Diceros bicornis minor: one gene and its partner. The protein of the gene in region 2 purifies or fractionates together with the protein of the main gene of each other region. This does not show direct contact. Links are inferred from orthologs where the notes say so. Each region holds a gene or a part of one and is shown on either strand. Other genes may lie near its edges.

Region 1 (14,793 bases), about 38 Mb from region 2:
AATACCAATGCAGTCAAAGAAATGCTGAAATCAGCATATTCATATATTGTTGATGATAAAACCCTTTAGAAAGCAATTTGGCTAATATAGCAAGAGAATATAAAGTAGTCCTATCATTTAGCAGCATTTCTCAAAGTTTTTGTTTGGGGAATTCTGGGTTAAACACAGAAAAAAAAAGATTTTGTTTTTATAGGCAAGACTTAAATGAGTTAATATGTTCTTATTCATGTGAATATCCAAGATGGGAATATGGTTTACAGTGTTTCCCAAATTTACTTGACCACAGGAATCTTATTTTTATGTTCTTTATTTTGTAGCACATTTCACAGGACTACTAAGTGTTCTGACGATCATATCTTGGAAACTACAGCCATTCACTATGATCCCAATTATGTTAAATATGGATATGCTATATATGTACATAGAAAGAAAAGCTAAAAGGAAATGTAACTGTAGTTATCTTTGGGTTCTGGAATTACCGAACATGCGTGTGACTTATATTTTATATTACTTGTGAAAACAGTTTCCAAGTTTTCTACAATCAAGATGAATTAATTTTATAATTAAAGAATAAATAAGGGGCCAGCCCGGTGGCATAGTGGTTAAGTTCATGCGCTCTGCTTTGGCAGCCCGGGGTTCGCAGGTTTGGATCCCAGGTGCGGACCTATACACCACTCATCAAGCCATCCTGTGGCGGCATCCCACATACAAAATGGGCACGGATGTTAGTTCAGAGCCAATCTTCCTCACAAAAAAAAAAAAAAATAGATAAATGTTTGTATCCTCCAACCCAGCAATCTACTTCTGAGAAATCTATCCTAAATAATCTATATCCTAATAATAAGAAGAAAATAACCCTAAATTTCCGCAACGATTTATGCACAAAAATATTCACAGAGTTCTTATAACAAATTCTGAAAATGATTTAAAAGCCCAATAACAGAAGAAAGGTAAGAGAGAGGGTGCGTGCCCAAACAATAAAACACTCTGCCAGTATCTTAAAAGATGTTTACAAAGAGTTTTTAATAGCAAGGCAAAATATTTATGTTATAAGGTTAAATGAAAAAGCAAGATATAAAAATGTATATACCACCTGATTCAAAAATGTTTTAAAAATGCACAGGAAAAATAAAGATCAGAAGGATATATGCCAAATTTAACAGTGGACTCCGGGTGGATGAATTATATTGAACAAAAATTACATAACTAAATTTATACTTAAGGAGCAGTAATCTGGTGAGCAGTAATCTGGTAACAGTATGTCAAATGAACTGGAACAGAGAGAGAGACTGGAGATAGGACAACTACTTAGGAGGTCACAGCAAAATCTGCAAGATAAAGGAAACTAGAATTTTATCAGGCACTTAGAATGACCCAGGTACTATGCTTGATACTTGCACATATAATCTCTTTTAATCCATACGATAATCATTACGTAACTAATAATTACAGAACCATTTGTTGGGTACTTTCTATGTGCCAGACATGTATATTATTTCACTTAAATTTTAATTCTCACAATAATCCCATTTAACTTGTAGGATTATTATTCTCACTTCATTGATGAGAAAACTAAGGCTTAGATTCCCAAGGCTTAAAATTCCCAAGGCCATACAGCTAACAAGTATTGAAGACGGGATAAGGGTTATGGCAGTAGGAACAGAAGAGTGATATGTGAACAACTGGTGTGTGTGTGGCACGGGGAGCAAGAGAGGAGTAAAAGATGATGCAAAACAACACCCCAATAGCAACAAAAACACCTAATGCTCTGATCTTGGTTTCCTATACCACTCTCCACTAAAAGGAACAGGGGCTTCTTGGAAAAATGGCTGATTCTAGGACTGGGGCAGGAAATATACAAGACTAGCCTGGAGCATCTTCTAGTGCCAAAGTAAGGAAGAGCTAAAAAAAACAAACACATAACCAAAAACCTACACTGATGGGGGTATGTCAAAGGGACACGCGGCCCATTAAAGAACTCCCAATGTCCAAACCTGGAACACTTGAGCAATAAAATAAATACAATAGTATTGGATTATAACCCAAAGTCCATACTGATATAAATAAGTGACTGAATAAATAAATGGGAGAGAATAGACAAATCTCCTGTGCAGAAGAATTCCAAATAATGTATGTAAATACTCCATCCTTAACGAAGGGAGCATAACTCTCCACTCTTTAAGTGTGGGCTGTGAATAGTTACTTTCTTCTAAAGAGTACAGTATGGAAAGGAGTACAGTATGGAAAAAGTAACTTTACAGTGGAGAAACCTTACAAACGCTACCTCAGTCAGGTGATCATGGTCAATATCAATAGTAAAAAAAATCATTAACTATGTATGCTTGATATGATATGATGAAAATGTGACTTTTCCTCTAAGATCATCCCCCCAAAAACACATAACTCCAGTCTAATCATGAGAAAAACATCAGACAAATTCCAATAGAGGGGCATCCTACAAAATACCTGACCAGTACTCCTCAAAACTGTCAAGGTCATCAAAAACAAGGAAAGTCTGAGAAACTGTCACAGCCAATAGGAGTTTAAGGAGACATGAGAACTAAATGCAATGTCGTATCCTGGATGGGATCCTGGAATAGAAAAAAAATTAGGTAAAAACCAAGGAAATCTGAATTATGCATGGGCTGTAGTTAATAATAATGTATCAATATTGGTTCATTAATTGCAATAACAGTACCATACTAATGTAAGATGTTAATAATAGGAGAAACTGAGTGTAAGGTATATGGGAATTGTCTATATTATGTTCTCAATTTTTCTATAAATCTAAAACTGTTCTAAGAAATAAAGTCTACTTAAAATAAAAAAGAGAGAGAGAAATGATGCAAAAAGTTGATCTTGGGTTGGGTAGAACAATGGTACCTTTACAGAAACAAGGAAGGAAAAACTGATACCGATTTTGGTCAGATTGGATTTGAGGTGTGACATTATATCTAAGAATGAAAGCTACTCACCAAACAATTAGAAAAGGGAATTGGCAACTCAGGCAAGGCTGGTGTTAGAAATAAAGGCTGTAAAAAGCTAAGAAACAAGCAGTGAAGAAATGGAAATAGTACGCATAGATCTGATATTCAAGAAATCAGGCTGTGAACAGGAAAGAAACAGAAGTGATAGGCCTTGGGCTGGCCCCGTGGCTTAGTGGTTAAGTGCGCGCACTCTGCTGCTGGCGGCCCAGGGTTCGGATCCTGGGCGCGCACCGACGCACCGCTTCTCCGGCCATGCTGAGGCCACATCCCACATACAGCAACTAGAACGATGTGCAGCTATGACATACAACTATCTACTGGGGCTTTGGGGGGAAAAAATAAATAAATAAAATCTTTAAAAAAAAAAAAAAAAAAAAGAAGTAATAGGCCTTGATTTTTCAATGAATTAGAAAGTGAGTTCATCTGCCAAGAGAGAGAATTAAAAGAGAGGGTCAGAGAGAACTGGAAAAGGTGGGGGAAACAGCCATGACAGAATGTAAGCAAACCAAGAAAAAAGACCTGAGAGAAGCCATGATCTTGGCAGAAGTTGACATGAAGTTATACTGAGTGTGCTAGCTTCTGTGCTTTTTCTCTAGCCATGTGCTGTGGCCTAGAAGCAGAAGCCAAGAAAACAGCTGATGGGTATGATTCAAGATAACAGAAGTCCTTGCTTAACACAGAAGATCAAAATGAATGAAGAAAGCAATGAGGATAGTATCAAAGTGGCTGGGCACAGAGGTCTAGCAGGTAATCATGAAGGCACTGGTAGACTCAACGAAACAGGAAAGGTCAAGAACCAGAGAACCTAAAGAGGGCAAAAAGCTGATTCTGTGGTTGTGAGGTAGTGAAAAAGGTGACCAGTAAGGAGGCTAACGTAAGCGATGGGGAGCCCAGGAAGGGGAAGCAGTGTCATAGGTGAGGTCCCGGTTGTAGTGATTCTGATGTGTAGCTGGTTTGAAAATACAAAGGAAAGTCAATGGTCTCATGCTGAGGAACTATAACATCAAGAGTATTCCAAAAATGCTGGAGACACTGAGAATGAGAGCAAGAAACAGAGTGGAGAAAAAAATATGACGCAATAGGTCTGGATCCTTGTGGGCAGTAGATGATGGCCCTGAGGTTTCAGAGAAAATGCTATAATTGCACGCCAGTACCTTCCACCAGGATTAGAGTGACAGTGGTAGATTAATGATCTGGAAGCAGTAAGAAGAGCAAAAAAGCAGTACGATTCCTTCTCCTCTTCCACATAGTCACAAAGGACAGAAGATACCTCTTCGTGGGAGGGATGGTGAGATGTGATATCTGGATTTTCATTAAATCAGCTTAAAGAAAACAGTTAAGAATAAAGAGAAGTACACCGGACACTGAGTAATATTTTCAAAGCACACATTAAAAGGAGCTAGTCAAAGAAGTAGAGAGCAGGAGAAGAGAGGTTATACTACTTTGAAACGCAAGGTGGGGAGAAGTAGCAGAGACCTGGGTTGTCATTAGATAGCATAGGAGAGGTGGGTTGAGATGTAAGGAACATGGAAAGCAGCAAAGCAAGAAGCATAAATGGCATATTTTAAAACAGACTGTATATACCACAGCACACGTACAATGTCACTTCTACAGAAGACTACACATACACAATGAGGGCTACAAAAAACAGTAACACCTTGCCTTGCACAGTATTTTATAAATTGTTTTCACATATACTATCTTATTTGATCGTCACTGGCTAGATAATACTACACACATTTTTCTAAAAATGAGGAAATTAGGATGGGACAAAATCACAATGAAAATCTTGATTCTCAGTTTTCAACGCATAAACCTCACATACACAGCCGACACTTCAGCATCTCAATCAGCCAGGCAGGAAATTCTTCTCTAGCCAGAAGGAATAGTGGGTTCTATCAACTTGTCAGAGGGCTTGAGAGGCCACTAGACATCTTCCTGTTTGGCTTCTTCCACCTTAGATTCCTCAACTCCTATTATCATCACCAGAGAAGGCAGAGGGGGGTGGCGCCATCAAAGAGAAAAACTCAAGCTGAAAAGTTTTACTGGTTCCTCTTCTCTTCACACCTCTAGACCTCAGTGACCCAACAATGAAGATGAGGGAGAGAGTGGAAAAAAGCACTATGTAGCAAAGAGCAGGTCTTCAACAGATCCAGCTTCGAGAAAAAGAATTAAGACGGGGCTGGGGAAGGGCAGAAAGCGGGTATAGCTAAGAGATGGGGGAGGGGAAGAGTGGGAAGGCAGGAATTGGAGAGAACTGAGGAGTGTAGGAACCCCCAAGGCTGGATAACCCAAAAGAGATATGGGAGCTCCAACTGCTGGAGAAAAGCTAAGGGCTCGTGAGGGTCCCGGAGCAGAGACCAGCATTGAAGGACCCCAGGGTTTGGGTGACCGGAAGCAAGAGACCCCCAAACACGAGACCAGAAGGGGGCGCAGGTAACACCCCGTAGGAGAGAATGAATGGAGAAGGCGGTCCGGAGGGCGGGGCAAAGGAGGGGCCCCGGGATGGGCGGGGCACAGACCCCTTTCCAAGTCCGAACCCCTGCCCCGAGAGCCCGGGGAGAAGCGGCTCCGCGCCTCCCGCACTCACCGCCGGTCTCGTCAGTTACATAGGGAGTCGCCATCTTGAAAACGCAAACCACTTCCGGCGTGAGCGGGCTGGGGTCCCGCCCCCCTCCCCACCGGAAGTGGAGTCCTGATCGTAGCAGGCCACCATTTTAGTCTTAAAGGGAGAGTACACCATTTTCATGTACAGAGGGTGAAGGAGGAAGAAGGGAGGCGAAGCCGAAGACTTTAATAAAATAAAAGCCATGGACTCTTTTACTGCCACTGATACCATTATTGAGCGCCTGCTGCGTGTAAAGCAGTCCTTTGGGCGCCGAGAGAAGTTCCGAGGCACAGACCCTCTCTCTCCTCACAGGCACTCTTCGTCCGTCCAGGACCTGCGAAGGAAAAGGGGGCAAGGCCCACCTGCACCCGGACAGGAGGGCTGATAAATGAGGAAGAATATTCAGGCCCTGGCCTGCACCCAGGTCCCAGAGCGGCTAGGGGACGTGAGGAGGGGCAGGCAAACTCGGGGAACGCACTGGGGCGCACCGATGTGGTTGGGGGCGAGTGGAAGACCCCAACTAACCCTCTCTTAGAAGGTGGGGAGGTCGAAATCGCCTGCCGAGTGTCCTCGACCACCAGCTCAACCCTCCGGACAGGGACCCGCGAGAGGGGCCTGCAAGGCGGAGGGCGCTGCCGGCCGGTCACCTGTCCCCGCAGCTTCAGGGTTGCCGGCGGCTTCCACGGCCCGGGAGGCGGCCGGCCGGTTTGGGCGGGCAGCCCTGGCCTGGCCCTGCCCCTGGGGCGGCCCCGGGGATTCGGGCGGCGACGTGACGACGGCCTAAATTTGCTCTGGCCTTCGACCCCGGGAGCCTCCTCGGGCTGGGTCCCGGGGTCAGAGGGTAGGGTGAGGGCTTCTGGGCGGACCTCATTAGTATTCTAATTGACCTCGTCCAAGTCTCTGGGCGCTGGGGCTCTAAAACGGGGCAACTCGCCAATAATCCAGGCCCGTTCGGTCACTCCCTTTGCAGTCCTGCCCTGCTCCGAGCCTCCCTATTCTTGAGAAGAACCCAAATGAGAATTCTCCCTCCCTTGCTTTTTTCAGCAGCTGTTGTTCCCTCAGGGCTAAGTCCTGCTAAACTTGTTTCCCCTACAGCCTGGGAGGGGCCGGCTGCAGGTTTCTCTCCTCAGGTGTCCGCTCTGCCCTCCCCCATCCCCACCCCCGTGTTGCTTTTTCCTTATCAACCCTTTTACCTTCCTCCAAATCCCCGGCTTTGGTTTAGGTTAATGTCCAACAGTACCGCTGGAACCAGGGAGGAGAGAGGAGGCGAAGCTTAGTGACACCTCCAACACTAGGCTGCATGCCTCACTTAAAAAACAAAAAACTGAGAGCAATGGCTGCCTAGGAACTTCCCAAAGCTTTGAAATGAAGCTTCAAAAATTTTCTCGGGTCATAGCTTGCCTTCCTTCCCATGCTCCATCTTCCTGAGTTCCACCAGAGGACCAACTCAGAAGGTCTCAAAAAAAAAAAGACTCATTTAAAAACTGGTTTGCATTCAATACACTTATTGCAAGTGTTCTAACACTGCCATCCTTAACCCCCGCTCTTTCACCAATTGTGCTTCAGCCCTGCTGGGTCTAACATCTTGTCCTTAGCCTTGTTACTAATGATTAGAGGTGAGAGTGTGAGATGAAGCCTGTGAAAACTAGAGGGATGCCTTGGTCTTGACTGTACTACCTGAGGAGTACTAGTACTAGTGCGCTGCTCAATGGACCTTTCTGCAAGAGGGAATCCTAAAGTGGGCCCTGTTGACTACCCAATGCTAGGTACCCACCCCACTGTGCCCCCAGACATCCTGCCTCAGCTCTGGGGTTGACAGGAAGTGAAACTCAAGTGTCTGCCTAGCAGACCTGCCTAAGACCCAGCCCTGGGCCCCGGATGTGGCCCCCCACCCTGAGGAGGAAGAGGGGAAAGAAGAGGTTGGGGAGAACAAGACTGTTGTTTTTTCCTTTCCCTTTGTTCATTGTGGTTTCTTTCTTTCTGACTTTTATGATGTGGTTGATTAAAGAAATGAGCACCTGGAACTGTAGGCATTAGACGCCTCCTCCTTAGATGTTTCTTGGCCTTTCTTTCCCCCACCCCCACCAATAACTGACTTGGGGTATGATGGGGACAGATCCTAAAGAAGACACAAAGAAGCCTAGAGCATGACTGATTCCATCTTGTTCCTTATTACAGAGATTGCCTCATGCCCCACTTTGAAGTCTCAAAAAATGACTTAAAAGGAGTGTCTTTAACTTCATGTAGGGACATATCTGAGGATGATGAAGTGACAAACAGAGGTCATACATAGGGTAGTATCACTGTGAGTATTATTTGCAAGGAAAGCTGAGTGCCTTAAGGATTAGTATCATTCCAGGAATTCTAGATGAGGGATTCAGGGGCAGAAAACTGATTGGAAGAGGGGCTAGGGGACTTAAATTCTTACTTATATTGTATGTTTGTTTAGGATGGCTTAGAGTGGAGAGGCTTTGCACACACACACACACCAAGCCACTCTGGTGCAGCCCTATGCTGGGCTGTGTGTTTGGCAGTGCTGCGGAACTAAGTACAGGACCTGGTGCATAATAGGCCTTCAAAAGTGTTTATGATTCCTTATGACTAAGGAGGTCGTATAGGAAGGGGGGATGAAGGATGGAGAGTGGCAAGGCCCTTGTCTTTTTAAGATTGGAGCAGAGAGACAGACCCTCTCCAACCCCTGCCTCAGATCTCCAGTTCAGATGCAACAACAGTACTGCCAAACTCTATTACTCAGCAGCTGTATTTCTGACAAAAATGGAGGTGTCTCTTCTGACAAGTCTGTCTTGAAACAATCAAGAACTGCTTAGATCCCTCTGTTTCCACTAGGGGGCCTCATGTATTCACTCCTTCTCCCCAACCCCCGCCAAAAGTATGTATATATTATGTGTGTGTATGTATGTGTGTACGTAGACACACAACATACAACGCAGACATACACCCTTCCAGTCAGAGCTCTCCCTGCCCCCTCTCTTCCACCACCAGGTGTAAGAGGGAAGTTTCCAGGAACTCAAGCTTTTGTCACTGTGCCCTACTTCAATAAAAGGTAGGAGGGGGTGAGACCGGGGATTGGGGTGGGGCCAGGGAGCAGGATGCCTGGGTCCCCAGTTCCTACCAGTAAGTCCCTAGGCCTCTGTCTCTCTCTCTTGCTCTACTAGCCTCGCCACCATCCATGCTGCCCCAAGAGCCTTTAACAACTCCAGAAGAAATTCCAGACAGGAGAAGCTGAAAGGATTTCCTTTCACCCCTACTTTTTTCCGGGGCCTTCTACACCACCTGCCAAGGCCAGCAGGTAAAGTGGGAGGGTTAGGGTGTGGAGAAAGGGTGGCCACGGACCAGAGTGCTCTTTGCACCTAAACTTCCACCGCAGAATTCAAGGAAGGATCTGAGTCTTGAGAGAAGGAGGTGTCCTTAGACTGGGGAAAACAAGTCTGAGACAACCGGGGCTTGGGTTTTTGGGAGATGAGGAACCTGAAGGCAAAGGTGGCCAGATTCTCTCAAGTCGCATCAAGCAGTGTGAAGCCCATGGGGGGAGGGAGGTATATGGGTCTCAGGATGTGGAGTCTGGAACTCTGGCCTTGTTGCTGTGGGATCTCCCAAGTATGCATTCAGTCAGTGGTGGATGGAAAGGAGTTGGGAAGGGAAATCCCCGATGGCAGCAACTAGGAGAGGGTGAGACGCTGGCTGGGTGGGCGTCAACCAAGCTGTCCCATCAGCAGCCCCACCCCCTATGTTGGTCTCCCAGGGTTGAGACGAGGGGAGAGGCTGTGAGTGATTAGAAAGAAAGGAAGATGGAAAGAAACAGAGCTGTCCCAGGGCGGGAAGAAGATGAGAAGCGCAGGATGTGGAGAAAGTGGCACAGACCAGAGCCCTGAAGATATTCGGGGGCAAGGGGAATCAGGTTGGGTGAACTGGAGACAGGGCCTGTCCGACTGGAGTTCCCGAAGATGGGGGCGCCGGGCGAGGGCGCGGGCGGGCGGGCCGGGTCGGGGGCGGGCAGCTGTGTCGTCAGGAGCGGGGCGGCTCCGGCGGCCGCCTCTGCCTGGCCCGTCCCCTCCAGCCCAGCACGGGCTCCAGCTCCCGCGCCGGCACCTCAGCTCCGACCGCGCGCCCTCCGCAGGCAAGGTAGAGACCCCGCGAGCCCCCCGCCTCCCGCCCTCCCACCCGGAGCAGGCGGGGCTGGGGGCCCGGGCGGGGACGCCCCAGGGGCTGGGGTAGGGCTGCTGGGTGGAGAAGGAGGAAGCGTGACAGCTGGAGCGGGTAGCCAGAAGAGTTTGCGCCAGGACGCGAGGGGCAGCGGAGGGCTGGGCCAGCACCCGGCAGACAGCGATTCCCCGGACCTTCCCCTGCATCCCTCCCGCTCACTCGGAGGGATGGTGCGGCTCGGCTGCTTGGGACCAGAGTCAGGGGAAAGTCTGTTGTGGAACCTCTACGGACAGTTCCACACCCGTCTGCACGGGTGGAGAGGGGTTCTTGTTTGGCCTCCTGGTCCCCAACTTCCCACCTCTATCCTTTCCACACCTGTCATCGGGAAGTTTCTGAAACTACCTGGGTCTAAATCCCACTTTTCACTTTTAAATGGGGGAAAGGAGCTTTACTGAGTAAGAAATGCAAATGTTATTGGGCATCTCCTCAGCCTCAGAAGGTATGAGCCCACATCCCCCAACCATGCCAACACTGTAACTTCCTCCTGTACTACACAATGACACCCCCCCCCCCGCGCGCGCGCGCGTGCACACACACACACACACACACACACACACACACCCCACTCCCTTAATCAGGTAACACTACCATCTGTGATGTTTGTGGAAGCTGAATGAAATTTGAGGCTTTAAGCCAAATGATGCCCTCTCAGGGGCTAGTAGCAGGGATGGGCAGGAAAGAATAGACCGTCCCTCAGTCCTGTAAAAGAGGAGGAGGATGCAGGCCCTGGTGTGGTTAAGGGATTCAGAAGTCCAGGTAAGCAGGCCTAGGTCCTCAAAGGGGAGTGCCTGCCTTTTGGGGTTCCTTGCTGAGTCAGCCGGAATGTTCGGGGGCATAGCTGATTCTTGAGTAATTGTAAACTTACAAGACTTGGAATGTGAGCAATGAATGTTGACGTGAAAAAGGAAACCTTAAATGTTAGCACTAAGCTTTGGAAATCATATTTATCTCTTGGTTACCAGCAATTTTAGTGTTTAATGTTTAAAATAAGATCTAGAAAACCAGAGGCACTGGTTAAATGTTAGTGGAACGGACTAAGGACAAGATGTCTAGAGTCTGGGTGTGACCCTGAGAGACTCATTCTCTCTCTGGGCCTCAGTTTCCTCCTCTGTAAAATATGGCAGTTGGTGCCTCCCAGCTCTGAGGATGTTCTAGGAGTGTCTGCCTCCAAGTCAACTTCTTACTTTCTTACCCCAAGTTGGTAGAGGTGGACAGGGAAATCAGAAGAGGGAAGGGAAGGGTGAGTCACAAATAGCTGGCGAGAGGGCCCCGGACCCCACCCTCCACTGCCCTGGCATTCGCCTGGACTAGCCCAGGTTATAGCCTCCGGGTTGGGATGGAGCTGGAGGACAAAATTGGACTTGTTCCAGGTCTTTAATGCCCCAGGATCTGGCGGTTTGCTGCCTTCCAGCAGCAGGAGCAGCCAAACTTTTGGTGAGAAAAGTCAGGAGGAAACTGAAAAGATCCCAGGAGCCAGGAGTGTCCTTGGTCCCAGGTCCCAGCCCAGGGGTGTCTTTGGACCCTGACAGTCTAGTTTCTAGCCAGCTTCTCACCCTCCCAGAGGCAAATTACACGACCCTGATACTTCATATCTGTGCCTGAGATATGACAGAGGAGGGAAGATGTACAACTAGGCTTCATTGGTACTGGAAGTTCCTAGAATTTATGCCTTGCTGGGTCAAAGACATCATTTTTCCTAATCTCCAGATGTGTTTCTCTAGGTACCACCCTTGTACTATAAATAATGATAATAATAGCTAATGTTTATTGAGTTCTTCCTCTGTGCCATGCAGTTTGCTAAGTATATGTCACATATTATCTTATTTAGTCCCCGCATTGTTACTGATTTCTCTAGGTACCCATTTTACCAATAAGGAAACAGGTTCAGGGAGATGAAATAACTCCCCACGAGTTAGGATTCTAATCCACGACTATCTAATGCAAAAGTCCTTCTCCTAACCTCTACGATAATCTACATCTAAGACCTGGGGGACTAGGAAGGGTCACTGTGAAAAGAAAGATGAGAGGGAAGCATCATGTCCTCTCTCCTGTTTGTCATCCCTTGTTTGCTCTCTCCCTGTCACTTTCTCTCTCAGATTCCATTTCCTAGAGCCTTGGAGCCATCTAAGAATCCCCAGGGGTAATGAGAGAGGCTAATTAAGCCATACAGGCCCCATTAACCATAAAACTATTTTGTATTCATTAGATCTGTTGGCAGTAGAAGTTGGATTATAGTCATAGAAAAGGGCCAGATGGGTGCAGTCTTTTCTCCAGAATATCAGTGTCCCAGAACCCCCTTCTAAGTGTTCCCAGAGAGCCCCCAGAACAGGAATGGTATGCTACACAGAGGTGAGCGGCAGAGCTGTCCCAAGGGCAGAGGCTACAGAGGCTACACTATCAGAAAGGAAGTTCTTTTAGGCTTTAATTGCCTCCTTGAGCCTGACCCAAGGAGCCCTAAATAAGGTGGGGGTGGGGTGGGTAGAAGGTCAGAGCCTTGGATGGAGTACCACAATAAGTGCTTTCTAGCATCATTCATGCATTTAACAAATATTTATTTAGCACCTACTATATGTGTTCCAAATTGTCTCATATTCCCCTGTCAGGATGGACACTCTGGTATTTCATTTAACTGTATTTGGATTAATATTCCCAAAATATGACTCCCTAACTTTACACAACTATTTGTACAACCAACATGGAGCACCTACAACATGCTGGGCACTGTTTCAGGTATTGGGGATACAGTGGTGAACGAGACCAACAATTCCGCCCCTTGTGGACCTTACATTTTGGTAGAAGAGGACAAACAGAACACAAAGAAGCAAATGAGTTAGGAAGATAATTTCCACTTGTGATAAGTTCAGTGAAGGAAACAAAGGAGAGTGCTGTGCAAAGGAGGGAGCTACTTAGGGTGGAATGGTCAGGGAAGGTCTCTTGGAGACCTTGGATCTCTTGGATTTCAGCTTGGGCGAGAAGTCAGCTCTGCCAAGACTGGGGAAGGGTGTTCCAGGCAGACAGAACAGTAAGTCTCATGGCCCTGAGCAGGGAAGAATTGGCGTGCTTGAGGAACAGAAAGGAAGGCAGTGGACTAGAAGGCAGTGTGTGAAGGACCAAGTGGAACGAGAGGAGGACAGAGAGACAGGCAGGGGCCCCACATGGGGTTCTCGGGTTAGAGCTTTGGCCTCCTCCACTTATCACCTGCCTTAGGAAGTCCCAACCTCTTTGAGCTCCAGTTTCTTCATCTGTAGAATGGCTATACCAATAATTTCCTGTCTCATTGGATTAGATTTTAATTGTTAATACAATAATAACTACCATTTCTTGTAGGCCTTCTATAGGCATATAGAAGTACAATGCTAGGCATTGTACTAGGTACTTTTCATACATTATTTGACTTACTCCTCACAACTGAAAGATGGGTATCATTCCCCCCATTTTACAGATATAATTTGCCCAAGTCACATAGTGGTATCAGAGCTAAGAATGGAACTCAGACATGACTAACCCTAGCTCTGTTAGACTCAAAACAGTGCTGTACTATACTCATGAAAGATATTGTTACTGCTGTTATTGAATCCTCAAGGCAAGTTGCCCTTTGCAACTTGGCCCCTGGGCCAGAGGTCAGCATGATCCACCTGATGGCTCCTCTTTGGTCCCTGGGTCCCAGAGCCGAAAGCTGGAGCTCCCTAAACACTACTAACCTAGTAGGGTGGAAGGAAGACATCCCCCCTCCCCCCCCCTCCCCCCACGCCGCATCCAAGACTCCCGCACTCAGCTCAACCCTCCTGGAACTGGGAAGCTAAGCAGATGCTCAGAGCCTTCTTCCCCTATCTCTTCCCTATCCCGCGCGCCTGGGTCCCCGCCCTTCCCCAGTGGAGCTCCTCGGGACGCAGGCGAGGCGGGGCCGAGGCTGAGGACTCGGCCAGAGCTGGTTCTGTGTCGCGCGTCAGAAGCGCTAGAGGTCGTTGCGGGGCGTGGGTGGCTCAGGGAGTGGGTGGCTGAGCGGCGCTGGGGACCGAGGCTGGAGGCGGAGCAAGATGGGGTCGTGGCCCGGGAGGCGTGCCGCCAACGCCGTGAGAACCACGGGGTGGGCCGGGACTGCGGGATCCGAGATGCGAGAGACTGCAAGCTCGGGAGAGACTGCAGAGATTGGGGGTGGCGGGAGAAGAGGTAGAAACAGGCAAGGGACGCGTTCACAGAGACCCATATAGACTGGGAAAGAGGGGGCTGGGGGCGAGGAGGTGAGGGTGGTCAGAGATGAATCGAGACAGATTGGGGGAGAAATCAGAGAGCTGGAGAAAGATCCAGAAACAGAGGAGAGAAAGTCAAAGATGAGTCAGAGAAACAGAGACAGAGGACAGACTCTGTCAGGCAGAGAGAGAGACATACACAGGAGAGAGGAATGCAGGGAAAGGAAGAGGCTTCAGGAGGGACTCAGATGAGGAAAGAAAGAAATCATAGTGCCAGTAGAGGATGGACGGGGCAGACAGAAGCAAAGAGACCAGACAGCTGGCTCTTCCCACCACATGCTCTTGTCATCTTCCTCCAGAACTGCCCTTGTAAGTGGAGGTCCAGGCACCGGAAGTACTACTACCAAGCCACCTTTGTGGCCATCCTTAAGGAAAAAAGAAAGATGGCCAAGGAGAGGGGCCTAATAAGCCCCAATGATTTTGCCCAGCTGCAGAAATACATGGAATGTGAGTCTTCCTCCCAGTCCTTCAGTTCTGGAGACCTTACCCTAGAGAATCCCTCCTCCTCCTCATTCCCCCCAACTCCCCCAGTTTCCCCAGTGGCCTTGAGCAAGACAGCTCCTGAGATTTGCCTATAACTGGAAAAAGGAGGAGAGGGAGATAGGGAGATGCCTGGGTTCTCAATTCTCTACCCACACGTCTCTGAACCTTGACTGCCTGCTCCAAGTCTCAGAGGAGAGAAGTTAGGAGGGGTACCACTTTGGAGGATCTGAAATGTTTTCTC
Region 2 (15,950 bases):
TATGTATATATATACAACACACATACACACACACACATAGTGATACTGGTTGGGTATACTAGAATGAAATTGCTGACAAATATTTCTTGTAGGCTTTCTATGTGTAAAAGGCTATCCTTGATACTGTGGGGAGACACTCAACTGATAAAGTGCCTGATCTTGAAGAACTTAACATTTGGATGAGGAGATATCTGAAAGAACATGAAAATCCACATAAAGTGTGAGGCAATAACTAGAATGATTAAAAGCTCAGATTCATTCAGAGTCAAAAAGGCATAAGTTCAGTCCTAATCCTGCTACTTTACTGTACACTGTTTACTTATCTTAAAATAGGTACAATGATAATCCTACCTCAAAGATATTGTGAGGCTAAAATGAAATAATGCAGGTTAAGTTCCACTACCATGACTCATATAATAAGTTCTTGGTAAATGTTAGCAGTGTTATTAAAGTAGCATCTTTTACAGAGTCTCATGGTACAGCACTAAAGAGTGTGGGCAGCACAGTGTGGGCTGAAGTTTATAAGGGAAGGTTTCACAGAGGAATTAAGATTTAAAACAAAACTGTAGGAAGCAATGACAATGGAGAAGATATTGAAGGAACTGGGCATAGCATGAGCAAAGACAGAGTTGGGTGTTAATGACCACATCTAGGGCATAGCAAGACACTGACTTGGCTGGAGGAGACAGCTTCAGTTAGGCAAGGCCTATGTGGTAGAGAAGCTAGGGGGTAGGATAGCGACTTCATATAGCAGGCAGTGGGAAACCACCGTAGGGTCTTGAGCAAGGATGAGACATGAGACATGATGAAAAGTGTATGAAAACAGACTACCTTGTAAATTCTTGGTAAAATGGATTGAAGAAAAGACAGATTAAAGGTGGTAAGTACTTTTATCTAGATTAAGGTGATTTCCTGGAGAAGCTAAATAATAAAGGAGGGAAATGACCTGGATTAATGGAAGGAAACATCTAATTACATTATCCAAAATTAATATGAATTATATTACTCCATAACTTCTTATTTTCCTGGCTGTAATGTAGCTTTTACTGGTAGATAAGTAATAGCAATGGTCTAGAATGCTGCAAGTTAGTAGCATCTAAAGATGAGAACGCCTAACTTCTGAAAGAGTTTTTGGCAATAGAATGAAAAAAAAAAAAACTTCTGTCATACTGATTGTAGTTTGAGAAATCTTCAGTCATTCCTATTATAAAAAGGGCCCTGTTGAGAAGAGACTTAGTACTGAGGATGAGAAGGAATATTATTCTCTGGGAAGAATATGAGATACAGGACAATGAGAAGTAGATTAAAGAATTGCAGGGTTTTTTGTTAAGGTGTGTTAGGAGAGAAGACATGTTCCTCAAACATTTGCCTCGTCAAGGCATCAGTTTCTCTTGTTTCCCTTTCAGGTATAGTCTTATGAAGTCCTGCTGGCGCTGGAGTGAGGACAGCCGCCCTTCAGTTAGAGAACTACACTCGCGCCTAGAAACTGCTGCTCGAACTGCAGATGACAAGGCTGTGTTGCAAGTACCAGAGTTGGTGGTGCCTGAACTGTACGCAGCTGTGGCGGGCATCAGCGTGGAGAGCCTCTCCTACAGCTACAGCATCCTTTGAAGATCCCAGGGCAAGAAACATTTATGGGTGATCACATACTCTTGGAGCCAATTCCTCCAAGAACAGAGAATAGACTTTCTAGTGGGACATAATGAGAGAAATGGGACATGGATCCTGGATCTTCCCCTACACATTCCCTAGATACCTGACATGATGCTATAGGAGGCTCTACACACCATATACCCTTGAGACTGAGAAATATAGTTTCATTTCTACTGTCCCAATCCTAAAGACCCAGGAGAGAAGTGGTGGACAGTGTCATTCCAAAGGAGGTTTTAGAAATCTGCAGTGTTTGTTGCGGCATGGCACAAATAAGCTGGTCCCTCCCACCACAGGCTAGTTTCCTCCTGAAGCATGCTTTTTTATCTAGCCTATTATAAGGTGCAGAGAAATTGCAATCAAATGAGGGAATAGAAAGCCAGTAAAGAAGTTGATTAAGAGAAAATTAAAGGTTTTACTTGCTGAGGAGTATAGATGTGGACCAAGTTTATCCTTCAAAGAGAAGGAGGAGGAAGGACGTAAAGTTCTTCAGTTCTGGTCCTATCATGCAGGGCTAGAGGAGAACCATGAAGGAAAACTTCTGAGTTTCCTCTTGGCTATAGATAAGAGAAAGATGGTCCCCTTTTCTCTAATTCTGAGAGACGAGTACCTTGTCGGTACTACTTTTAACTAGAAGCTGGAGGGGTCAATTCATGATTAAGAACATTCAACACGTCTTGTTCATCAGGCTAGCTTCCTGGTCCCTATAAGACTAGGGAGATTGAGCCTAAAGAGTTAGTTCGGTCAGCGATGAATATATTATGTGTCTATTAAATAAACAGGAAATGTGGAAACCAAGCAAGAATGCTTAGTAAGACAGAATGTCTTAAACAAGGGCTAGAAAAGGATGTATTCTGAGACAGAAGGCTAGCAGCTTCTGATTTGCAATCATTTACTGATGTACTGTGAAATTTATTTCATTAAATTAATATTTATTGAGTAAAAATAGGCTTTTCTGGTATACGGCTTCCAAAATGTCTACAATAGGGAGGATAAAAGTAAATAAATGGAAATTAATGGCAATAGAAAAATTCAAGAGACAATCTACATTGTCAGAAAAGGGATTCCTCACGTGTAAAATGGGGATAATATATACCTCACAGGGTTGTCATGAGGATTGAATGAGAGTATGTATTTGTACAGTATTTGGCACATAATATGTGCTCAATAAATGTTTTCTTTCCCCCTTCCTATCCTAGACTCTTTCACATCTTTTTCATTTAAAACCTACTATGGCCAAGAACAGAACCTTGGTCTGTCAATCACACTGTAAGGCAGTCATGCCTAAAGCTGATGATGTGGTGCACATACCACATGACTAAAAGGATAAAGTCATCATTTTTGTGTGAGCTTCTGGATGATGATAGTAGTCTCCTACCATTTCAAAATACTGAAAATAACATCATGATGACAATTCAGTTGAACATGTGGTCTGTGATTTTACAGAATACTCTGGGTATTCTGGGAGGGACATCTAAGGCTGCTGCTGTAGGAAAGATGACTGGCCATTGAAAATTTTGTAGAAGTCAGAATCCTGATGGAGTCATGATGAGTCATCCAACTGAATAATGATTCTGGCACTGTGGGAATACCACAAGGACCAATCAGGATTTAAATGGTGAGTGTCAGTAGGGAGAAGGGAGACAGAGTGGCTTGGCACAAAGTCCTGTGGAATCTCATTGTTGCTTCTCGACTGTTCATTTAAGTCAAATTTACAAAATATTTATTTATTCAAATATTTTTTAAAAAATTAAGTGTTAAGGCCAACTGTGCCAGACACTGTGCTAGATATTAGATAAACGAAACAGAGCTTTCGATTACAGTCTAGAAAGAGATACTATACACATACTAGTGTGGGTATTTGTTAATCACAAACTGTGGTAAGTGCTATGAAGAAAACGTGGAGGACAGTATAAGGGAGTATAAAATGAGGCCCTCCCTGAAGAAACGGCATTTAAACTGAGACCTTAGGGATGAGTAAGTTGGCCTGACAAAGAGTGAGAAGAGCCTTCCAGGAGAAGGACTCTGTGTGAAAACTCTGAGGAAAGAAAAAAGCATAGTTTATTTGAAGAACGTCAAGGAGGTAAGTGGGCTGGGCGCAGAGTGAGGTGGGAGGAACGTGGCGCATAATGACATGGAGCACTGCTCTTTCATATTGTATGTTAATATGAGTTTTGGTATGAGGGAAAGAAGCAGATAAGCTATTTTAAATTTTGACCTGTAATTTTTTTTTCTGGATATAGGTCTGGAAAACTGAATACAGTAATTGCTTATTCTAAAAAAACTGAGTTTTTCCCTCACTTGGCCAGGCTTTTTCCAAAAAGGGGATTACATTTCTGGCATCTTTGACTTATCAGCTAAACCAGCTATTTCCAAGCTAATGAATGGAAAAGAGAATTAAAATATTTACCATTTTATCATGTTGAATACAGGTTAGGATTTGTTGTATTGTTTTGATTTTCCCCTACCGCAGTCTTGTTTTTCCAACCTATGATTTATTGTTAAAAAAAAATTTCAGCACATCTAGGAACTGAGCAAACACCCACCTGGATACCGTGTCTAATTGAAAATTGACAATGTAGTTTAACTTAGAATAGTCTGAACTAGTAGTTTTCAAATCATGCTCATACGGAACAGCAGTGTTTTTCATGGTAGATTTAGGTATTTTGTTATTAAAATTGAATAATAAAAGTTTTTTTTTCACCATTTTTAAAGAAAAAGTAAGTTTATGGGTAGACTCTTCTTAATCATAACCTTGCTGTAATAGCTTTTATGAAATTTTTGCCATAACTCATTTAAACAAAGAAATAGATAGCAAAAACAAACCTTGCTGTAATAGTTTTTATGAAATTTTTGCCATAACTCATTTAAACAAAGAAATAGATAGCAAAAACACTGGCAGACTGGGAGGATAGCCTATTATGCTAATTTAGCACACTGTTTTTATTTGTTTTGGACATAAGTGTTAGTGTTTATGCTATTTGTTAGATGCATATAATATTGTCATATGCTTGAAAAAATTATTAGTTTGAATAATGCAATTAAATATATTATCATGTCATAATCATCTAGCAATAGCTCTAAGTGCTCACCATATATGAATATATCTGAGAAACAATGGTGTGGAAATTTTGGTGTTTCTGCATGGTGGTGTTTCTCTTTAAAAAAGTAATACCACTGAATGGTTAAAAAGACATATATGGTTAAAATTCCACAGGGAAGTCTATTATAGAAGAGAGGAGAGAAAGGTGGGAGGATGGAGTAAAGGTTGAAGTAGACCATTTCATTCTGACATTTAAAAAATTTTAAATTACCTTAGAATGTTGTTTTAGATCATATAATATTCTTGATTTACTACTCTGATCCATTGAATGGAAAAAGATAGTCCTGACTGTTTTTGTCTTGTAAATACAAAATCAAAACTATTCAAAAGCTACTGATAAAATAATAAAAACAAAAAACTATCTTCTCTAGCGTTTATCACAGGAAAGTCAGAACATTTTTCTGAAAACTGTAATTAGGAATGATTTGATAATTTTAAATAGTGAGACAAAACAGATGTGAGGACAGAACAGCCATGAGAGATCAATGGAAGAGAGAATTTTAGACACAGGAAAAATCAGCAGAAAGTTTTAAAAGACTAAATTAACAATTATAAGAAAGAATCATCTCTGACCATAGCCCTCTGACTTGATTCATCACCGGAAAGCAATAAACTAAAAAACTCTAGTTGGAAACAATTATTTTGCCAATGAATATTATGTATTTGATTAAATCATTAAGCCCTAATTTCAGCTGAAGCTGGAAATACATTTATTTCTTAACTACTTCACACGGGTGCTTTGAAGCTGACCACCGATAGGTTGCATTAGCAAAGGTGGAAATAGTTCTTAATTTGGCTTCATTTAAGCAGCTCAAATATTTATTTTCATAAACAAACTGTGGTGACACCAGTGTTGAAGCCCTACTTTGAAGTCTACAGTAACTGAGATTGAGATGTCTCAGTGTTCAAAAAATATTTTCACTATTTCCAGCTCAAGTAAAAGTGTACGAAATGGTTCTTATATAACTGCACTGTCCACTACAGCAGTCAGTGGACACATGTGGCTATTTAAATATTAATTTAAATTCATACAAATTAAGTAATATTTAAAAATAAAAAAATTCAGTTTCTCAGTCTCACAAGCCACATTTCAAGTGCTCAGTAGCCATTCAGAACGTTTCCACGTCTCTGCAACATCCAAAAAGAACACAAAACACAAACGCTTTATCCCTTTGCAATCCTTACAGTGATACTAGATACCAGCCCTGCTGGTCTCGTGCTTAAGATTTGGTGCTCTCACCGCTGCGGCCTGGGTTCGTCTTTCCGGTCAGCGAACCACACCACCCATCTGTCAGTTGTCATAGTGTGGCAGCCGCATGTTGCTGTGATGCTGAAAGCTCTGCCACCAGTATTTCAAACACCAGCAGGGTCGCCCATGCTGGACAGGTTTCAGCAGAGCTTCCAGACTAAGACAGACTAGGAAGAAGGACCCGGCCACCCACTTCCAGAAAAACTGGCGGTGAAAACTCTATGACTAGCAGTGAAGCACTCTCTGATACAGCACTGGAAGGTGAGAGGTTGGCACAAAAAGACGGGGCAGGGTTCTGTTCTGCTTTACACGGGGTCCCCAGGAGGTGACTAGACAGCACTAACATAGTGATACTAGAGATATACATTTTGACGTTTTTTAGGGGGCTAAATATATGACGGATTAAGTACACATATTTTCACATTTCATCTTAAAAACAGGGTTAGAAAGGATTAGTCTTGAGCTCAGGAGTCTTTTTAGGGGATAAAGACAACAATTGGCCCACAGATAAAGTTCTTAACACTGTATATTCCTTAAGTTCCGTAGTCACAGTTCTGGTAGCTGTAGCTCTATTCCAGTAGGCATGAGGATGAACACTGGCACATGTGCCAAAAATCTGAATAAATGCATTAGGGAATCGAAAGATACTGAATGAGGCTCCCTACAAAAAAACTCCCACAAAACAAATGGATTATGCCTATATTTTCAGAGATACTATGCAACAGTGTGGTCCAATTTCTGTGCGGTATTCTTGTAGTAAGTACAGTGACCAATTCATTTTAGTTTGCCTGGGACTTTCCAGGTTTTAAAACTGAAAGTCCCTCATCTGAGGAAACTCCTCAGTCCTGGGCAAAGTGAAATGGTTAATTTTCACCCCAGTGTTAAGGGATGGTTCTTTATGTTTCTTGTGTATTTTCCATAATGGCAGCCTATAGTACGAACTGAATAATTTTTCTATATTAACACTTATACAATGGTTAATATGGATTTCTATATTGACAGTTATACAATTAATATAGACTCAACATAACCTGGCCCAGTCTGCCTTTCTAGTTTTTCCACTTACATGAACCTTATGTTCTAGCTATACTAAATTTTTTGGCTTTCCCACATCACGCATTTTCATACAACTGTGTCTTTGCTCAGGCTGTTTTCTTCCTGAAATGCTTTCCCATCCCTCTGAACATATACTGAACTTATCCAACAAGGTCCTATTCAAATAGCACATTTTGTCACAAGCCTTCCCTGATACTTCCCTTTCTTCAACTTCCTCTATTCTCCAATAAAGTGACTTGCTTCCTCTGTGTACTACCAGCACTTAAAAAAATTCTTTCTTATACCAATTGCTACCTTGTGCAATTATTGGTCTACATGTTTGCTTTCTTTTACAGACTACAAGTGCAAAGGGCTCTATCTTTTTATTACTAGTGTCCAACCCTTTCTGGCACATAGGAAATGCTTGTCAATGAGTTTTGACAAACTCATTATATAATGTTTTATAAATTTTAAAGTTTATTTTACATGCAGTACCTCATTTGATCCTCTCAACAATTCTGTGAGCTTGGAAAAATTGACTGTAGAATATTCACTTGGTTGATGAACAAACAGGCTCAGAGATAGTGACGTGACCAAGGTTAGGTAGAGGTACGTGTTGGGAATGAATCCCAGGTCTTCTGACAGCCACTCTTTCTACTAAATCCCACTGGAGGTTAAAGGTCACCCAACAGGCAGGATTAGTTTGTGTGTTGATAAAAGGAGGGTGGTCATTAATATTTGAAGAATAGACTGTGTAAAAGCTCACCCTGTGTTTCCTCATTATTCAAGCTCCATCCCACACTAGAGCATTCGTTCACTTCTCCAATTTAGTTTTATTTGGTAGGAAACGTGGGCTAAAACATTTGATTTTAAGTCATATTGCCAACACTCCACAGGCCACTGAAGATTAACCTTTACTGAATGAAAGAAGTTTTGCTATTAAAAGGAACTCTTTTATACCATGACTGTAAGGAATTTTCAGTGTCAATGTGCCTTTCAAAATTTCACACCTTTTGTCTGATGGATTCTTTCTACTTTGTCTCTATTATTACAGGTTTCTAGCTGCCGGATAACTAGCAATCCTTGTCCAAAGGGGAAAGCCCCGTGTTAGAAACCTACCAGGAGAAAGCGTTGTATCCAAGTCTGCCACCTATTCTGGGCTTTATCTTTACTCATCCCACCATTTAAAGGGGAATGATGCCACAGCAAGCTCAAAAAATCCCGCGAGAATTAGAGACTCGGAAAAAGCGATTTGCATACCTTCTTCCTAAGCCCATAAAAAAGGCTATCGTATTTTCACACTTCTCTGCTTTGCTAATATAATTGGATCTATTTAATTTGGAAAGTAATGTGCTTCCAATCCTAGTAAAGCTACATACACGTCGCTACTACCCTCCATCCCGTACCTCCGGGTCTCTCCGAGACGCCACCTTCCCCCTTTCCCCTGGGGACCCGGGAGGCGGAAAGGGCGCGCCCGTGGTGACGATTTTATCCTGGGCGACTGACGTCACTGCCAGGCGCCCGGCGGCACGGTGGCCAGGCCTTCGGCGGGCTTTCCGGGAACGAAAATGGCTATGGCCAGCGATTTTTACCTGCGCTACTACGTAGGGCACAAGGGAAAATTTGGACACGAGTTTCTGGAGTTTGAGTTTCGGCCCGACGGTGAGCAGAGGAGTGGCCGCCGGGGCCGCACCCAGCGCGGCGCTGAGCTCGGGGAAGCTCGGGGCTGGCCGCGGAGGAGGCGGGGTGGGGTGTGCGAGCCTCCGCGGGTTTGCAAGCGCTGCTTGAGACGAAGTAAAGAGGAGCTAAGGAATATAAGAGGTTAAATTGGTTTTGTGAATAAAAGATAATTAAAGGGTGGAAATTAATTCAGAAAAGCCACTCATGCCAGATACTGAAAAGCTGAACCCACGTTAATCAGAATCCTAGAATCAGCACACCGGAAGAGACTTTCAATGCCATCTGGTTTATCGACCTAATACGTGCTTGAACATTTTTAAGAACACCCCACCACGCGGTGGTCCGATGGATACTTACAATCTTCCCGGACCAGTAACTTTCCGACTACCCATTCATCCATTTTATTCATTCAGGCGCTGTATGTAAGGCAACATGTCGAAAAACGAAGGAGACCTGCTCCGAAGGGGGGCGCTCGACGTGTAGAAAAATGAGTGTTTTGCGTACTTAAATACAGTTATTCTTCATTGGATGTATTAAGAATATAAAAAAAGGCGAGCGGTTAGTTCTACATGAAGGAATCGGGGAAAACTTTCTAGAGAAGGTGACAGTTGAGATGAGTCTTGAAATGAGAGTAGGTATTTTCTTGGCCTCTGAGAAAAAAAGTCAGACTGCTGAGAGCTGCCTGAGCCTAGGGCGAGGTGGAACTGCCTGCTGCCCATGTAGTGTGAAGCAGAGTCTATCTTTTCACAGCTCTGATTCTCTTTAGAGAGTGTTGTTGTATACTGAACTCTTCTGGAAACAAGGACGGTCCAACTGCGTAGACGTTTCTTTTTTGAAAGCATATTATTTGCTGGGCTACGTGTAAATACGAAAATTGAATTTACAACGAGTAAGACTTTAATTATCCTCAAGGAGTTAAATGTTTTGATGAGGGACACAGACATGAAACTAACCATAAAGCAGTATGGATATTAAGTGTTAGGTGCTATGTTCATGCTTTGGACAAAGTTCTGTGAAAGCATGAAAGAAAAATTAGGAGAGGATCACATATTACAAAAGGGGAAGAGTATCAGACGTTTCAGGCAGAACGTAAGGAACTAGAACCCTGCAATTATTTAGAAACTTTCATCACCTTATTCTCAGATCTCTTCCAAATGTAGCTAAAGAGCCAATTTACCTGAATTCTCTATCTGTTCTTTCCTTTTGTGATATTGTTTTCAGTGCGTTTGTCTGTGAACATCATTTAGCTTGTTCATGTTACTTTTATCCAGTGACATAAATTGTCTATTATTATCAGGGAAATTTCATGCCTGAACAGTGGTTCTCATCCATTTGTCTGCCACCACACCATCCACGTACTTTGATCAGTAATAGTGACTCACAAAGACAGTGATTCCTAAGGGATTCACCTCATTAGGGTAACCTATCATTTTAGAGGATCAGGACCACATTACATTTTACCTGGACAACTGACTAGGCGTGAGGAGAAGCATGTATCAGGGAGTACAAAAGTCATGATGGATTAAAATTAAACATAGATCAGCTAACAAACTGGCCAGCCTTTATCCAGAAGCAGCACATAGTTTGTATGCTTCCTAGTCACGATTCTAAACTATTAGCATTGCCATATTATATACATACATTAATTTGAAAGAAAATAATTAAAAGAACATTTTGGAGTAGCGAGGAAAGCGTGAGTATTGGAGGAAGGTAGATCTAGATCTGCATCTTGTGTGACCTTGGGCAAGTTACTTAACTGTTTTCTCACCTATGAATAGGTGAGAGAATAAAACCTACATTTTAGGGTTGTTTTACAGATTAGATTAAATGCTCTGGGTAAATCACTTAGCACAAATACAGACATATAAAATAAACTTTAAAAGAAACGTTTCTTCCTTTTTCAGCTTCCCTGTCTAGTTCATGACATAGCTTAAGAAAATGGCCCTTCCATTATATTTAATTACATTGAAGGCGTGGAATACTTAAAAATTATATTGAATATTTAAAAATTATATCAAAGGCATAGAATATTTAAAAATTTGAGTAGCTTCAACTGCAGCCAATTTACCAGTAAATTTTTGAGTATTTATATGTCTAGCATTGATCTTATGCTAGGAGGGAGGAAATATTAATAAAACTAGTAGTATAAAATAGTCTTTATGTTCAAAATTGCTTACGATGTCATTTATCTTTTTTTAGCAGTTTTTGCTGTTATAGATTGAATTGTTTTCCACTCCCCACAGGAAAGCTTAGATATGCCAACAACAGCAATTACAAAAATGATGTCATGATCAGAAAAGAGGTAAGGTTTTTTTGAATGTATAACTTTTTACATTTAGCTCATTTTCTTCTTGTCTGTGTTGAATTTACTAAAGTATATCTAAGCTGTACTGTAAAAAAGAAGCCAATTTATAGATTGAAAAGGGATTCTACTTAAATCAGGTATAATTGTAGCATCTGTAACAACGAAAGAAGCAATCTGAATATATTAATTTGTAGTCCCACATTTGAACATATCATTTAATTCATTTTATAATTTGTCATTTTACTCTATTCACTGTTAATTGATAATCATGATTTAAACACAGTATGAACTTTAAATGAAAGGCCTAAAAGTTGGAGATAAGAAAAAGTTCAGAGCACTATGATGTGCACTTGCGTTTGTCTCTGTTCACCTCATAGGTTTTGCATTGTCACCATTAACCGCTTGGAGATGTTTGAATCCCATGTTACAAAGGCAGAATACAGAGTTTTAAAAGGGAGTTAGTGATGTGAAGAGGGAAAAATATATATTAAAGGAAAGGGCAAGGGAGTGAAGAAAAAACGTAGGATGAATGATTCTCTCCCATCTTGTACTTTTGGAATTATAATTAAATTTTTCTGTGATATTCTGTTTGAATATTCAGGGTTTGTAATTACGTTTTGTCATTTCCTTCTGAGTTGTGGGAAACAATAGAGAAGCATTATGAAATTTTTATTATGACTTATTTTCAGGCTTATGTACACAAGAGTGTAATGGAAGAACTGAAGAGAATTATTGATGACAGTGAAATTACAAAAGAAGACGATGCTTTGTGGCCTCCCCCTGACAGGGTTGGCCGACAGGTTTGTATTTAGTGATTCTTTAAATGCATAAATATTAGAAATTGATAATATAATTGTTGTGTTTCTCTTTATTTATTTAAAATAGATCCTTATTGATTCTTTGGTTTTCTGTTTAGTAGGCACCTGGGAAATACTCTTTAATTTTCTTTTACTTAGCCTCATTTTCTCTGCTACTTCCCAGTAGTAAAGGAGGCAATGCATAGCTGTAAATTTAGACATCTTTCTGAACAGTCTCCTCTGTAGTCACCACAAAGTTAGCATGTTTTCACATTGTTATGAATAATATGTATTATATGTTAATCACTTTTATTAGGAATAAGAACAGGTGTTTGTTAAATTCGAGATTTAGGATCTCATTGACTATGAAAATTTATTGTCTCCAAATTTATAACTTTGAAAACTCTTATTTGCATCTTTATGCCCCAGAGAAGGATTTGGTTTATTCAAACTGACCTTTGCCTCTCATATTCCCTTCAGAGTAATTGATGTGTCTCAGAGGGCTTCTGAAGAGCTCTGAAGGCCTCATTTCACTCTGTGGAAAGGCAGTTTGATTTCTGAATTGGGTCCTTTCAACTCTTGGAGAAATGAGATACGACCCCTGGAGGAAGAAGCATTTAATTTCACTTTTTTATATTCCCAAGGATTATACATTATAACACCTTCTTTGACTAGAAGAAAATGTGGAGAAATCTAATATGCTGATGCTCTGTAGCAGCAACTTAACTCTTCTATTTAAAGAAACATTATTTAGGAAAGCAAAGGTAATAGTTAACAGTATTTATTTTATGCATTGTAAACACTTTTAAAAAGTAAGTTTAGATCTCAGTTTATTTTATGTATATACACATGTATACTAAAAAATAAACAGCGACAGTAAACTGTGTATCTCTTTTAGACTCGGAGAGCCCAATGTTTTCATCTACCCACTTAGTGATGTGTTCATGTGTTTTGGTTGGTGGGGGAGGATTAGGCATGCTCCAGAAGTTGTCCATTGGATCTTTAAGTCGAAGATGCTATGTTTGTTTGAGTCTTACTTAATTTTCCATTTTGTGTGTGGCATAAACTGTACATACTTAGGTCTTTTGATCAACTGTGTAGCTAAGAATATCTTTAATGGCGTCTGTTATTTAACCTGAAAAATCACAGACGTAGCCTCTTAATTATTGGTTTTGGATTTGCAGATAAAATATAGAGAAAAATTTATACAGTAATTATGGCCCACTGGGAACATCTACATTACGTTGTATTTGTTTTACTAGTTCTTAATTTTAATGTTTTGTGAAGTCGAAAGAGTATGAGCCTTTCAGTCTTGCAGTCCTGGATTCAAATATCAGTACCATCACTTATTAGTGGTTGAAATATCAACAAGTTTTTTCCTTTGCCTTACGAGTCTTGGATTTCACATTTGTAAAATGAGCCTAATAAAGCCTACCTGATAAGGGTATTTTAGGGATTACAGATAATGTTTATAAAGTCCCTAGCAGCAGGGCCTGACACATAGTAGGTGCTAAAGAGGTACTATTTTTAATATTATGCATTTTATTTTTAGAGCCTGGTAGAAAGGGTAAATGTGTTTGTATTTATTATATTAAAAATAGGCTTACCCATATTATTTTTACATTATGCTTCAAAGTGATGCCTTTAGTTTTTACTGACATAAGTAACATTTCTCTGTCACTCTTAAGTGACATTTTATAGTATCTTCTTTATGAGATCTCTGGAAAGCAGTTTTGGTTGGTCCTAACATTGGGGACTATTGAACAGTTGATGAGGTTATTATTTTATAGATGCGGTTTCTGTTTAACAAATCGTTTCTTTTTTTTTCCCCTCCTCTATGACTACCAGAAACCTTGCAGCTAAAATTGGGACATTTTGGTAGCACGAATACAGATATCTCTGGGGTGGACTTTTATATTAACTTCATTTCTCTATTTTATTTTTTTCAGGAACTTGAAATTGTAATTGGAGATGAACATATTTCTTTTACCACATCAAAAATAGGTTCTCTTATTGATGTAAATCAGTCAAAGTAAGTATGTTAAAGCATTTTGACTAAATTGATAAAATTTATTATCTCTAATAGAGATGCAACTATAGCTAGGTTGCTAAGATTTCAGTGGCACCCTATCAGTTTATTAGGCAGCTGTAATTCTGATTTTTGTCATTAAAGACTTATCAAAGAAGTTAGCAGTGTATTTTATTGATTGCCAAAAAAATCTTAATCTAACAGCTATATAAAATGCCCAAGTTTTATTAGCTACTTTTGTGTAAAAATCTGCACATAGTGTCACAAAATTTAAGAGAAATCCTTATTGGATTATATCAGCCTCATTAGCCCTATATCATGTCCTTCTCTTCCTTGGGTTTAATAATTCGAATAAATGGAAAAAATCTAGTAGAGCTTAAGTATGGCTTTAGCTGTCTATGTCTTCCCAAGTTCTGTGTCCCTATAGCACATACCATTGTCTTTGTGTGAAAAATCTCTCTGCCTCCTGTTATTTTTTCCCACTCTTTTCCCCTTAAAATGTCCTCAGAGTGTTTTTTCCTATCACTTTAAATTATAACAACTTATTTATTTGCTTTACTGATTTGAATGTTAGCTCCCTGAGAACCTTGCTATATCTCCAAAGTTAGCCCAGTGCCTGGCACATAAATAGGTGCTTTATAAATATTTATTAGAGGAAAGGAGAAAGGAATGAATGCCTAATAACTCTTGGCTACAAAATGCTATGTTCATAAACCAATCGGACCCTTTTATTTTTTTGTGAGGAGATCAGCCCTGTGCTAACATCTGCCAATCTTCTTTTTTTTTGCTGAGGAAGACTGGCCCTGGGCTAACATCCATGCCCATCTTCCTCTACTTTATATGGGACACCGCCACACCATGGCTTGCCACGTAGTGCGTCAGTGTGCGCCCGGGATCTGAACCGGCGAACCCCGGGCTGCCTCAGCACAGCGCGCCCACTTAACCGCTTGCGCCACCGGGCCAGCCCCAATGATTGGACCCTTTTAAACTATCAAATTTATTTTCCCACAGTTGGTGAGGATGTCTCATTCATACCCTTTTGGGATTGTAAATTGGTACAGTGTTTTTTGGAAAGTGATTTGATAATATGCTTTAAAAGTCATGGATATTTTACTCATCTTTGTCCTAGTAATTTCATTTCTGAGCATCTATTCTGGGGAAATATTCTCAAATAATGAAAAAGCTATTATTTGTAAAGATGGTCATTGAAGCCTTAAATTGGAAAAAAATCCAAATGTCTAACAAGGAGAGAATTGTTAAATTAACTAAAAACTATTTGTGAGTTTTTTTTAAAGTAATGGTAAAAGCTATGTTAAAAAGGGCCCAGGGGGCCGGCGCCGTGGCTTAGCGGTTGGGTGCACTCGCTCTGTTGCTGGCGGCCCGGGTTTGGATCCCGGGTGCGCACCGACGCACCACTTCTCTGGCCATGCTGAGACCGCGTCCCACATACAGCAACTAGAAGGATGTGCAGCTATGACATACAACTATCTACTGGGGCTTTGGGGGAAAATAAATAAATAAAAATTATTAAAAAAAAAGAAGGGCCCAGGGAATGATTTTAGTATTAAAAAAATAAACACCAAAATATTTATAGTTACTCCATGAGGTGTAACATATAGTATTATAAGTATCATTTTTTCTACCTTTATAATTTCATTTGCTTTATACATTTTTGTGATGCCTAGCTATTACTTTTATAAGAAAGTATACACTTCAAATATGAAATGAATACTGGTGAAGAAAATTTGTATTTTTTTTCTTACAGAAAAGATAGAGATGGCAATTTTCAGTATGTTCATTTTAGTTACCAGCAAATCCTTCCTTTCTCTTGAATTCCTTCAACTTAATTTTTTAGGTTTTTGTTTTGTTTTAGGAATTAACTTATAAAGTTATGTTGTTTCATTATAGGAACAAAAAAAGTAACTTTTACCTTTTTAAATTTTAGGGATCCTGAAGGCCTTCGAGTATTTTACTATTTGGTACAGGACCTGAAATGTTTAGTTTTTAGTCTTATTGGATTACATTTCAAGATTAAACCAATCTAAATTGTCTGTTTTTTGAAGTTGTTTTTATATTTAATTAAGAGATGGGTAAGGGAGGGC

The links.
Region 1: the proteins of MAGOHB (region 2) and PYM1 purify together in Homo sapiens (co-immunoprecipitation; 3 studies listed by BioGRID and IntAct, with this or other methods). This does not show direct contact. The link is inferred for Diceros bicornis minor from reciprocal best matches to the Homo sapiens genes MAGOHB and PYM1.

The regions. Positions count from the first base shown.
Region 1 is NC_080756.1:12,800,387-12,815,179, reverse strand, and holds the start of PYM1 (partner of Y14 and mago), read right to left. Parts: upstream 5,650-14,793; 5' UTR 5,612-5,649; coding exon 5,578-5,611; intron 5,515-5,577; exon of another isoform or gene 4,832-5,514; coding exon of another isoform or gene 4,813-4,831; intron 1-4,812. Other genes in the region: DGKA (diacylglycerol kinase alpha), read left to right, coding at 14,453-14,516. UniProt on the Homo sapiens protein: Key regulator of the exon junction complex (EJC), a multiprotein complex that associates immediately upstream of the exon-exon junction on mRNAs and serves as a positional landmark for the intron exon structure of genes and directs post-transcriptional processes in the cytoplasm such as mRNA export, nonsense-mediated mRNA decay (NMD) or translation.
Region 2 is NC_080756.1:50,341,855-50,357,804, forward strand, and holds the start of MAGOHB (protein mago nashi homolog 2), read left to right. Parts: upstream 1-8,564; 5' UTR 8,565-8,605; coding exon 8,606-8,699; intron 8,700-10,916; exon of another isoform or gene 10,917-10,960; coding exon 10,961-11,019; intron 11,020-11,711; coding exon 11,712-11,822; intron 11,823-13,768; coding exon 13,769-13,851; intron 13,852-15,793; coding exon 15,794-15,893; 3' UTR 15,894-15,950. Other genes in the region: tyrosine-protein kinase STYK1, read left to right, coding at 1,407-1,611. UniProt on the Homo sapiens protein: Required for pre-mRNA splicing as component of the spliceosome. Plays a redundant role with MAGOH in the exon junction complex and in the nonsense-mediated decay (NMD) pathway.